Linked DNA regions of Caenorhabditis elegans. The protein of the gene in region 1 purifies or fractionates together with the protein of each later gene. This does not show direct contact. Each region holds a gene or a part of one and is shown in the gene's direction. Other genes may lie near its edges.

Region 1 (7,111 bases):
TTATTTCTGAAAGTATAAGTTTCTCGCCAAATTTTTTTTCACAGGCAACTTGAATTTCCCGCCAATATTTTTTCTCTCAGAAAATTTGAATTTCCCGCCAAAAGTTTTCTCGGTAATTTTGAATTTTTCGCAAAATTCTTATTCCTGAAAATTTAAGTTTCTCGCAAAAAATGTTTTTCATATAACATTTTTCTTGAATAAAGCGTGGAAAAATGTTTTAATTTCTAATCCGGCCCCGCCCATAAACTGGCAATTTTTGTCTGCTTTTTTTCTTCATTTTCAGAGGAAAAGAATCTTTCAGGAATAAGTCAAGTTCCATAGCTCAACCTTATTTTTCTAGTTCTTACCCTTTTTCCTGCCAATCACCAGACTTGGTTATTAGTTTTTTTTTCTTTGGTAGACCTGATCACCGGAAATGTTAACCGCCAAGTGTTGTACCCGGACATTTTACTGATAAATTTGTGGTGTATTTTATAGTTTTTGTTTTTTTGATATGCCTTTCTTAGTAATTTTAGCGAAAAAAAAACAAAAAGGACCATTAAATGGACTGAGCTTGTTTTTAATTTCTGGATTTTAAAATTAAAATTTCCCCCGCTAAACGGCGGAATAAGCGGCTCAATTTCGGAGCATTGTTTTTATGGGTTCAAAAGTATCATTTTCCCTTTTACCCGAGCTTAACCTATATTTTTTTTGAATTATTCACCATATAATTAGTGTTCATAGAAAAATAGATGTGTCTCTAATCAGATTAGAATTCAAAGCTTCTTTAGAAAATGTGAAACGTCTTTTCAATGCAATGTTTATCGGTTTTTTTTCAAGATGTTTTTCTTCGGGTTAGTGATCTTATTGGGTTTTGATTTATTAGTTTTTTTCTTTGTGAAAAATAAAAAAATATTGTACATTTAGCGGCGGTGGGAATTATTTTTCGTGGGTAGATAGGAGGAGGTGGCAGTTGTTTTGATAGGAAGTCGGTGTTCGGAGAAAAAGCAAGTCTTCGAATTAATTGGAATAATATTTTTATTATTATTGTACATGTTTTACAACATGTGGTTAGTTTTGGAAAGTTTTTTAAACGAAAAAGTAATAAAATACGTGTTTTTTTGTGAAAACTTTTTAATTGTTTCTATTTTTCGATATTGAAAAACCAGAAAAATTAGAAGTTGAATTTCCCACTGAAATGTTGAAAAAAATTAAACTCAAATTTTCAACAGAATTTTTTTTAAAAGGGAAATTTCAAAAAAATTTCTTTGAAGTTTCCTAACATTTTAAAAGATAATAAATGTATTTAAATGAGGTTCGATCAAAATTTTTTGTTGAAAAGTTAAACTTTGAATGTCCCGCCAAAATTAAAATTAAAAATTTGAATTTCCAGCTGGAAAAAATGCAAAATTTGAATTTTCTGTAAAAAAATTTAAATTAAAATTTGAAGTTTCCGCTAAAATGTTTTAAAATTTTCAGCTAACTTTTGAGAAATTGAAATGTCAGTAACAATTTTTCAACAATTTTTTAATTTCCAGCAAAATTGAAAACAGATTATTTAAAATTTATTTTTCTGGAAAGTAAAATTTCAATATTTTTTTCAAAATTTTTTTCAACATTTTTACACATATATTTTTAAAAATTGGCAAACCCTGCATAGAGAATACACATCAAAAAGATTACGCAGGTTGTTTTTTTTTTTCCAATATCAATTTTCGCAAATATATACAATTAATTTCTGATTGATACAAAGCATGTATTTATGATTTGATCTTAGGAATTTCGGCCACCTGCAGGAATTAGTGTCTCAGAATTTTGATTAGAACAAGAAACATTTGAAAAGAGAATGTTCTTTGGTAAATTTGGATCACAAGCCCACGCATATTTTTCAGACATTTTCATACTAGTTTTCCCACAGCCAAAATGGACACCTTGCAAAGATATTTTCAATTTTTTTTAATTGATTGCTATCTATTTTGCCATTTTTTGCTTTTGCCCGTCTTCACTGGGCTTTGCTCATTTTGAATTCTGAATTCTTAGCTTCTATGTCGTAATTTTGTACGATCAGAATCCTCAAAATGTTGTACTATTTTTTCGGTACGTTTTAATATCAAAACCACAATTTTTTGTTCTCGATAGTGTACCCACCGTATACTTCTATATACTTCTCCAAATTCTACTGAGGGTTTCTGTTTCGGTTTTTCTTTCGGAGGCATGCTTCATAATTTCATAAGTTTCTCAGTGGATTTTTTAAAAATTTGTTTTAAATAAAATATTCCCACTATAATTTAATTAAAAACTGAAAAAAGACCAACGTATTTTTTTAAAAATTAACATTTGAATTTTTAGCAAACATTATAAAGAAATATATTTTTAATTTATAATTTTCAAAAAATTTCGAAAATTTTTCATTTTAATTCGGGCTAGAGTAAAATGTTTAAATAAATTTAAAACCATTTTTCCACTACTACCTTAATTTTTTAAATATTAAATTTCTCACCGAAATTTAAAAAATGTTAAAAATGCATTTTTCTATCGAAAAATTTGAAAAAAAAAGCTGAAATTCGATTTTTCCGCCAAATATTTAAAAAACATATGCTCCAAAGTTGTTCTTTTTCTGTATTTCTGATCTTCAAAATTTTATAAATTTTTGTACATATATTTTCCCCCTAAATCGTAATATCCCAACTATAATTTTCGTTCTCAAAAAATCGTGCCGGTAGTAGGCAGCCATGTAGGCACGCAGGCAGGCATGCCGAGCCTAAATTCATCAAAATTATCAACATTTTTCAGATTTACCAAAATGTACCTCCTGAACCCCGGCTCTATGTATAAACTAACAGTAATGAATATGACAACAGCTGCAATAGAGCAAACCGATGCAATATTCCGAGCCGCATTGATTTTCGAGTGGATCCTTATCAGTATAGGCTTCGGGGAAACTATGCTTCTTTGGTATTTGCTCCGATATACTAACCAGTACCATCGGAACTTGGCGATGATCGTCGAGCAACTCCCCAATCAATATTTCCCGTCACTACTGGCAAGAATGTACATGATATATAAACAGTTGACGATTTCTAATACAGGTATGGTTTGATAAAAAATTAAAGGAATTTTTCACAAATTTTGGGTATGGGAAAGTTGAAAAATAGCATTTTAATTAGTTGAGAAGAGTTGAAAAATTGGATTTCAAAAAATTGAAAAAAAAATTGAATAATTCTAACTTTCAAACAATTCTAACTTTGTTTACAAACAATTCTAACTTTTCAAACAATTCTAACTTTTTAAATTTAGCAGGTAGCAAAAAGTTGTCTACTAGCACAATGTGAGAAATTTAATTTTCTATGTTTTATCAGTGAACAACTTTTTGATAGCTCACATGTTTCTTGAGATATCTGAGTTTTACAAAAGTAATCTGCTCCAAAATAATTTCGAAAAAAAAATTGAAATATTGAAACTAATTACCTCAAAAACTAGTGTAGTAGGCCTAAATTGTCAACTAATAAATTATATCAAATTGGTTTTCTATATTTTGATAATACTAGTTTTTTGATAGTATCATGTAGTTTTTGGGATAAATTCGAAAAAAAGAGAAAATTTTTTTTGACGTTAAACAATTCTAACTATTTGAATTTTGCAGTCAGCAGAAAATTGTCAATTAATAAAATCTAGCAAATAAAGCTATTTATATTTTATACGTTGACACCTTTTTTATACTTCACACTGTTCTTGAAATACCGGGGTTTTTAGAAGTGTACCCACTTAATAATTATGGTGAGAGACTAAAATATTGAAACTGGATTATCTCAAAAACTAAAATAGATATCAAAAAGTTACTAACTGAATAAATGTAGCAAATTGAATTCTCTATATGTTGTAATTAATAGCACTCTGATATCTTCAATCACAACAAAGTTATGGCAATTAAAAGAACAAATTTCAGCTGATCTAATCGAAGACCAGGGCTTCCTTTTCGCAGTTTGGCTCCGAAATTCTCTACTTTTTGTGGCATTTTATTTTGCTCCGTTTCCAGTTATAGAACGATGTTTTGCAACTTTGTACATGCACGTGAGTGTTTTTTAACCCAAAAAGTGCTCTTATCACCTTTGTTTCAGGACTATGAAACAAATAAACGGCGATGGATATCGTATCTTTTGAGTACAATTTTATACATTTTCGCGATAACCTCCGCGCAATTTTTCATCTTTGGGTCTTCAAATCGCGAAATTCACATTTTTCTGATTACCGGCTTCAATTTGATCGCTTTTGGGGTATATTTTTAACTGCATTTTTTTTGTAAAAAATTGGTGATTTTCAGTTAACATTTGTCATGGAGCGATACAACAAGAAGAGGTACTCGAAATTGCGGAAAAATGTAAATTCCGACTATTCGTTGAGTGTGAGAGCACAATTATCGGAGAATATCAATAGTACTCTGGTGAGTTGTACATAAATTTTTTCCGCCTTGCCTGCCTCGCCTGCCTCCCCCAATTGCCCCCAAATTTGTAAATTTTCCAGCCGTTCAAAGTGATGTGCTTCTCGATCGCCTTTTTTGCCTCGCTGTGCACTTCTATGCTCCACGTGGACGAGTGGACCGAGTCGCAGACGATACGAAATTGGGTTTATATGGCTTTCAATTTTAGCTGCTGGTCGTATGGTACTTTGGTACCATTCTTCATGCTGGCCTACAATCCGCTGTGGCAGAAGGAGTTGAGACGATTGGGAGGAAAGGTAAGTACTGTAGGGGTACTGTAGGGATACTGTTAAGGGTACTATAGTGGTACTGTCGATTTCTCTTGGGGTACTGTCAGAGTCCCGTGATTGTATTGTAGGGGTACTGTTGTGGTTTTGTAGGGGTACTGAAGGGACACTGTCGGGTACTATTGGAGTACATAAGGAGTCCCTTGAAAGTAATGCACGTGTACTGTAGAGATATTGTTGAGGTACTGTAGAGGTACTGTAGGGGTATTGTATGGGTACTGTAGGGGTACTGTAGAAGTACAACAGGGATGATTTACCGCTCTTGTACTGTAAGGTAGCTATAGGGGTACTTTAAGATCCTTGTATTGGTACTAAAGGAGTACTGTAGGTGTACTGTAGCTCTACATAATTTACACTTTTCCAGTTCTGCTGCTGCCTATGCCCGGCCAATCGAATCGGAGCCGACCAGACTGGTCGCAAACGGCCACCCACAAAAGTCAAAGACACTTTTGGCAAGAACTGCAACGTGGAAGACGCGGAGCACACGACAATCTATTTCTCACAGCTCAACGCCGACTGGAATGCTCCCACCGAGCAAAAAAAGCGACGGGAACGGAAAAACGAGAGGTTATCAATTTCCGATGCTCAAGCTCAATCTGTTATCACTTCAAGATCGATATCCAATCATTCTGTTGTTATTTGATTTCTTTTTTTTTGAGATATATAAAACAAAACTTAAAATATCGTTATCAAGAGGTGTATCCAAAGAGTGAGTAATCTTTTGAGCCAATATTTGCTCAGGGCCCGCCGAGGTGTCACTATATTTATGGCCGTTCTTGCAACTGGTTTTGTTTTTTTTTTGAGAAAAAACCGTCTAGGTTCCTAGGTGCGTAGGTACGTAGGTGCCTACATGCCTTCATGCCTACATGCCCACATGCCTACATGCCTACATGCCTACTTGCCAACATGCCTACATGCCCACATGCCTACATGCCTACATGCCTACATGCCTACATGCCTACATGCCTACATGCCTACATGCCTACATGCCTACATGTCTACATGCCTACATGCCTACATGCCTACATGCCTACATGCCTACATGCCTACATGCCTACATGCCTATATGCATACATGTTTGCATTCCTTCATGCCTACATGCCTACATGCCTACATGACCACATGCCTACATGCCTACATGCCTACTTGCCAACATGCCTACATGCCCACATGCCTACATGCCTACATGCCTACATGCCTACATGCCTACATGCCTACATGCCTATATGCATACATGTTTGCATGCCTTCATGCCTACATGCCTACATGCCTTCATTCCTACATGTCTACATGCCTACATGCATACATGTTTGCATGCCTACATGCCTACATGCCTACCCCCGAACTTTGCTCTTTTCTCATCTATTGTGCTCTTTTTTGTGACACACATTTTGGCAGATTCGAGGGGTAGTACTTGTGCAAACACTATCAATATATCAATTACCTATTGGCACTTTGCTCATTGAGCAATCAATTCATTTATTTTAGTTTTGTTGTTCGGTGACACTTTTTTCTTAATTTTTTGAATCTTTTCAGTAGGGCTTCTATGTAAAAACGCCTACCAAAACGCCTGCCGTGCCTTCCTCGCGCCTCCTGTATAGTGTGGCGCGGAACCCAAGAAGTGTCGGCCGCGGCTTGTCGCCATAGTGTAGGCGAGAGACCGGCATGAGGCAGGCATGTTGAAGGCAGGCAACAGGCCCTGAAACCGCGCCTGCCTCCCATGGAAACCCTAATTTTCAGCACGATATTTCAGATGACACGGCCAGATTCTATAGAATTGGATAGTATTTGCGAAGCAGGGGATTCCATGGATGATTTGAGGGTGAGTGAAGCTTTGGCCAGAAAATTCAGAAAAAAAAAGTCACATTTTTAAAATGTTTCAAAATTTACTAATTTCAGGAAATACTATCACATACTGAAACAACTCCAACTCGAACGCTTCCAACGAGATTTGAGAGAATGGCCAGTCAGATGACTTGCCCTGTAATTTCAGAAGAGGCTAGCTTTGGTGGGTTATAACTATTTTTAGATGATAGGTGTGAAAAAGTTGTCAACTGACAAGTTGCAGGAAATTTTGTGGGTAATATTTTGTAAATTTAAAATGTTTTGATTGTGAAAAGAATTCCAAAAAAAGTTTTTTTGGACATAAGGCTTGAAAAACTTTTTAAAAAATATTTCTTAATTTCATCGAAACCTTCCTCAATCAAAGAATATTTTTTGCGTGTTTCATGTTTGGAGTGCTCTTTTCTCTATGCTCGAGGGATCATGTACGACATGATATTTGTGTTGTCTTTCCCCCTCCTTATAATATTGACCATTGAAAAAACAGGTTCTTTTCGTGTGCCAACCGATCTTTCGGCTTCTGCCA
Region 2 (5,697 bases), on another chromosome or scaffold:
CGACAACCTGCACATCACTGTTGGTCGCTGACGTCACCCCTCCCGCTGCGGCGTATATATACTCAGTCGATCGTCGCTGCTTGCTGCCAGATTGGTGAGTCGAATTTTCGCTCTCTTCGAGTGTGTCTTTCTGTGATCAGAGGGCCCCGTGTGTGGTATAAAACATGAAAATTGTAATGAAATGCGTGTTGAAAATGTGAAAAATTGGAAAAAAACATTTTTTTTTTGAAGAAGGTATGTAAAATCGATTATGAGTCATATTTTTTGCAATTTCACCATATAATAATAATTTCTTCAAAAAATCGTCTACGCAAATTTAAGAACGTAACGTCACGTTGGAAAATCGATTTTTCTCAATTTTTTTTTTCATTTTGACTAGCCCGCTTCGAGAAACCTGTTTCTTGCCACTCTTAATGGGGGTTTTTATGAAATGAACATGGTTGGAAGTGTCGCAGACGAAAAATCTCGGAAAAGTTTATCTATTCATTTTTTTTAAAACAGGAACGACAAACGTCCAACATGGCACACGGCAATGGAATCGCCGAGCTGTACAAGTCGGTTATGGCCGATGTTATCGCCAATATGAAAGAAGCGTTTCTCGATGAGAACATCGACGTCGACGTTTTATCTCAACTCAGGAAAGAATGGGAGGATAAAGTGAATTCGAGTGGATGTGTCGACTTGGAGAGCAATGCACCACCACCGGCACCACGCCAACAGCATCACGTACCGCCGAGTGCCGTTCGTCCGAATCCGATGCCTCCACAGAGACCCGTTGCTCAGCAGCCAGTGAGAGCTTTGTCGGCTCTTCACGCAGCACACATTGGAGATGCTCCGATTCGAATGGCGTACACTGGCCAGCCAACGGTTATTTAATTTAATTATTGTTTTTTTTTAAATGCGACTAATACTCCAGCAGGACAAATTTCCAAATTTCGTAACGAAACTGCTCAAAAAATTGACTAATTTCTGCAAAAATCTCGAATTTTGGCCACTTTTTCCCTGTCACATCGGTCCGAAATTGATTTTTTTTTGAAATTATCATCCTTCATTGCAGATTTGGGTGGTTTATCTCATGTAATTTCGCCAATTAAAGTACATTTAAAGCCGATAGGTAACCGACAGGCTTTAAATGTACCTTAATCGATGAAATTAAATGATAGGGATGATAATTCCAAAAAATTCAATTTCAGACAGATGTGACACGGAAAAAGGGAAAAATTCGAGATTTTAGCTGAAATCAGTGCAATTTTTCAAAAATTTCGCAGTTTCATTATGAAATTCGTTTTTTTTAGCCCATTTTGGGTCTATACATTCAAAATCGTCAAGAATCTTGCACGACTCCTACGTAAACCACAAAACTAAACCATCGTTTTTCAGCAACATCCATCTCAAGTTCGCATGTTCAATCCACAATTTCAAGGTGGAATTCACTTTCAACCGGGACAAGTGTTCGTTGTGCAGCAACCAAATGGTCAGAATATTCCAATGTCGATTATGCCGAATCAGATTCCACAGCATCGAATTATTCATCAAGGACAGCCACAACAGGCTCAGCAGCAGCAGCCTCAACAGGGCAATCAACTTACCCATATGAATCAAATGGACGGAAATGTGGGATCCGAATCAGACGGAGAAGGACCTAGTGGACCTGTAAAACTTGCTCCAAAAAAGACAAAGTGCTCATTGAGAGTCCGTGGAAGTGGAGCAAGTGAGAAGAAAGCGATGAAAGTCTTGGGATCACTATTGAAAGACTTTCAACTCGACGGAGGTGGCGGTGGAATGTCTGATTCTTCCAGTGAAGATGAGCCTGACGATGATGATGATCCACTTCGAAGAATCGCTGATCGCATGGGAAATGGTGAAGTTGAAGATGGAGATCAAGTGGCAGAAGAGGAACCATTGAATTCTGAAGATGATCAATCAGACGATGAAGATTTGACGATGCTATTCGAGGCGGACAATGTTGTCATGTGCCAGTTCGAGAAGGTTAATTCTATTTATTTTATAAGTTAAATTGTCGAATCTTGCAATTTTCAGGTGAATCGTGCCCGTACCAAGTGGAAGTTCCAGCTCAAGGATGGAATTATGCACATCGACAAAAAGGATTACTGCTTCCAGAAGTGTACCGGAGAAGCTGAATGGTGATTCGATCACCGATTTACAACATCTTTAACATTATTATCATTATTATTTCCAAATAATTATTCCCCCATTCTCATGTCCCCGCTAGTCCAGGATCCAATGAACAATATGCCTGAAGTGTAGTCTCATGCACTGTGATTTCCGCCCTTCCGCCCCGTTTTCATCAATTTTCCTTCATCATCAGTGATTCCCGATTCTTACATCATTTCTGTCTTAAAACTTCTTCCTTAAACCAAGGTCTGTAACATTGAATTTTACGATAATTCTCTTTGCAATATTCTCTATTTGTTTGCCGTTTATCTTTTTTTTAAAGTTCATCAACTTCATTCGTAGAATTCATCTATAAAATGTACCCCACCAATTCCTCTCCAGTTTTAGTACTTATTTATGAATGGATGAAGTTTTCAGATCTATACTTATATTGTATTCAATTGGTTTTCAAATTTTCAATATTTTTTAGGTTCAATTCCAGATGGACTTGCTGCCGGGTTTTCGAGAAGAAATTCTCAGAAAATTTATCGGTGAAGGTGGAAAAATCGTAACAACGAAGCATCTGGAACGATTTCAACTTCTAATCACGGCGATTTCAAGGTACTCACTGAAAATTAAAAACAAAAAAGGAATAAAAATATATTCTAAGAGATGGAAAGCTTATCCGAGGAGTTTTGGATCAAAAATCGAGATTCAATCGAGAATTGATGAATCGTGAGAAATACGAAACACCTTATATCGTCGAATTGCCCGGAGACCATCCAGCTGATACAGAACATGTTAGATATAGTGTTTCTTTGGTAAGAATTGGATTTAATTCTGAAAATAAATGGAAAAAATTGAATCTTAAGTGATTTTTTAATTTCTGGCAAATCAGCAAATTGCCGAAATTGAAATTTTCGGCAAATCGGCGAATTGCCGGAATTGAAATTTCCGGCAAATCAGCAAATTGCCGAAATTGAATTTTCCTCCAAACCCGGCAATTTGCCAGAATTGAACATTTTCGGCAAATAGGCAAATTGCCAGAATTGAAAACTTCTGGCCAATTGGCAATTTTCCGAATTTGCCGAACGGCAATTGCCGCCCACCAATGAATTTGGCCATAGTGGCCCCCATATTTTGAAAATATTTATATTTTAACTTTATTTTTCATTTCAGCCGCGCACAAAACGAGTAATTGCACTTCGCTATGAAAAGGAAACACCTTCAACATCTTCTGAAACAAAAACGAAGCGAATCCGGACGGCTGCTCAACTTTTAGGAGATACTGAAGATTATTGTTGTAGGGTTAGTTTTTTTGTAATTTTCCAAAATTAATATGCCAAATATATTTCAGACTTGTTTCAAACGTTTCTCTCGGAAATTCAATTTGGAACGCCACGAGGACGGGTGTTTGCCGAAGCCAATTCTTTTCCAATGCCCAATTTGTCATCAAAAGTATAAAAGAGCTCCATATTTTGCGGTAAGCATCGAATATTCTTGGTTCAACGGAAAAATTTAAATATATTTTTTTTCAGGCTCATATTCGGCAACACGAAGCTGAAGAGAAACGACAACATCGTGACGTCAAACGTCTTGCAATTGAGCATGGAAATATGGACGAAATACGACGAAAAGCTGAAGAATCTGTGAATAAACTGTCGATTCCTTATGAATTCGGAACTTTTTTATAGAATTCGAATAAAAATTTGGAATATTTAATGCTGATGTTTCCAATTTCACAACAACAAAACACGATCGTTAAAATTATTCATTTGTCGCTTAGAAACCAGCGGATCGTCGCCTAGAGACTGGCAGCCCATCGGCATTTTTCTTCCAGAATGCCTTCACTTTAAAAAAATTTCCAATGAGAAATTTGGTTTTCTCATTGGTGTTTCTAATATTTAATCTAGTGAATAATATCAATAAAGTCAACTCGCAATGTACTTCGGACACAATTCGTGAGAAATTCTATAATAAACGTCACACTGTCGCATTACGGTTTGATCTACAAAAAAATGCAGGAATTTTTTGCACAAAAATATGTGACGTCAGCACGTTATTAGCCATACGAAATCAGCTCCCGCGTTTTTTGTAGATCTATGTAGATCATACCGAGATGGAGCACTCTGACACCACTTGAAACTTTACTCACTGATTCTATTTCAGCAAGCTCATTGGCAACGTTGACTCAGTATCAAGTAGGATCTGAAGGAGATCGTAAGAACAAATATTTGATTGAACAGAAAATCAAGTTATCTTGATAAGTTTCAGCGTATTACAGTCATTTTTTGGTCAATGGTGGTGCATCTTTCTCGTATGGAAATGCTTCAGCTACTGCTTTATATGAATTGGTTAGGAATATTAAATAATTTTAATTGTTAAATTAAAAAAAAAAGTTCTAGAGTGCTTATGCGATATCAGCTGCTACAACCAATTGCACATCTACATGTCTTACATCTGTTTCAGCTTATTACAAGACGGATTCTGACAAATGTATGTCCAATTTTTGAGAAAGAAAATACGGTACCCGGTCTCGAGGCGACAAGTTTGTGTTACATGAGAAAAATTTATCGAAAACAAATAAAAAATCAATGAAAATTCTGCAGCTTCGAGATATCGGTCGAGTGTTCGAAAATACAGTAATATTTAAAGACGCGCATTTTTCTGCACTTTTATATCCCTCAAAAGGGATATCTTACGTGGTGTCAGGCTGTCCCATGAAAGACGTAATCTACAAAAAATGCGGGAATTTTTACCCAAAAAATGTGACGTCACTACGCTCTTAACCATGCAAAATTAGTTGAGAACTCTGCGTCTAAATTCCCGCGATTCTCGTAGATCTACGTAGATCAAACCGAAATGGAACACTCTGACACCACGTGACATCAACTTTGACAGCTTTTATCTTGTGTCTCCTAAGTTTTATCAAAAATAGGCCAACTGACAAAAAACGTGCAAAACATTTTTCTACATTTTCACAGTTGAATATTTTTTGGTAGAACTTAAGGCAGCCGAGATATCAGCCGTAAAAGTAGAGCAGTACAGAAATGCTACAAGATAGGCGCGCCTGGTAGGCCCGCAATCAAGGGGCACCTCATTTTTAATTTCATCCCATTTTTCAGTGACTCTAATCATGCTCCGGCCATCGGATGAAGCTCTCTACCCAAACTACACCAGCATGGGACTTCCATCCTTTTTTTGCGCGACTGTTTCTGGAAACTGTGGAGCTAAAACTCCATTATACCAGTTCTATTCTTCCGCCTATGATGACTACTACGCGGACACTGAGCAAGCGAACAACACCAATGCCACGTATTCTGTTGCTATGATGGGGCTTCCGTTATGCTATTTATGGGTACCTCTTACAACTACAACTACCACCACTACGACGACAACGACTACAACAAGTCCAATGAACACAACGACAACTACAGTACTCATTAACGGAACTACGACTACTACTGTACCAACAAATGAAACTACAACTACAGTACCGCTTAACGGAACTACAACAACTGTACCAACAAATGAAACCACTACAACATCACCATTGAATGGAACTACTACAACTACAGTACC

Evidence for each region.
Region 2: the proteins of sre-5 (region 1) and K11D12.12 fractionate together in Caenorhabditis elegans (co-fractionation; one large-scale study listed by BioGRID). This does not show direct contact.

Annotation. Positions count from the first base shown.
Region 1 is NC_003282.8:3,562,429-3,569,539, forward strand, and holds sre-5 (Serpentine Receptor, class E (epsilon)), read left to right. Parts: upstream 1-2,772; 5' UTR 2,773-2,782; coding exon 2,783-3,068; intron 3,069-3,925; coding exon 3,926-4,050; intron 4,051-4,097; coding exon 4,098-4,253; intron 4,254-4,300; coding exon 4,301-4,420; intron 4,421-4,500; coding exon 4,501-4,713; intron 4,714-5,107; coding exon 5,108-5,386; 3' UTR 5,387-5,426; downstream 5,427-7,111. Other genes in the region: otpl-1 (Otopetrin-2), read left to right, coding at 6,551-6,565, 6,643-6,751.
Region 2 is NC_003283.11:5,049,656-5,055,352, forward strand, and holds K11D12.12 (C2H2-type domain-containing protein), read left to right. Parts: upstream 1-2,605; 5' UTR 2,606-2,617; coding exon 2,618-2,736; intron 2,737-2,785; coding exon 2,786-2,936; intron 2,937-3,294; coding exon 3,295-3,423; intron 3,424-3,472; coding exon 3,473-3,598; intron 3,599-3,653; coding exon 3,654-3,809; 3' UTR 3,810-3,835; downstream 3,836-5,697. Other genes in the region: pqn-51 (Prion-like-(Q/N-rich)-domain-bearing protein), read left to right, coding at 520-867, 1,381-1,989, 2,041-2,148; cwp-4 (Coexpressed With Polycystins), read left to right, coding at 3,983-4,076, 4,285-4,335, 4,390-4,469, 4,521-4,611, 5,241-5,697.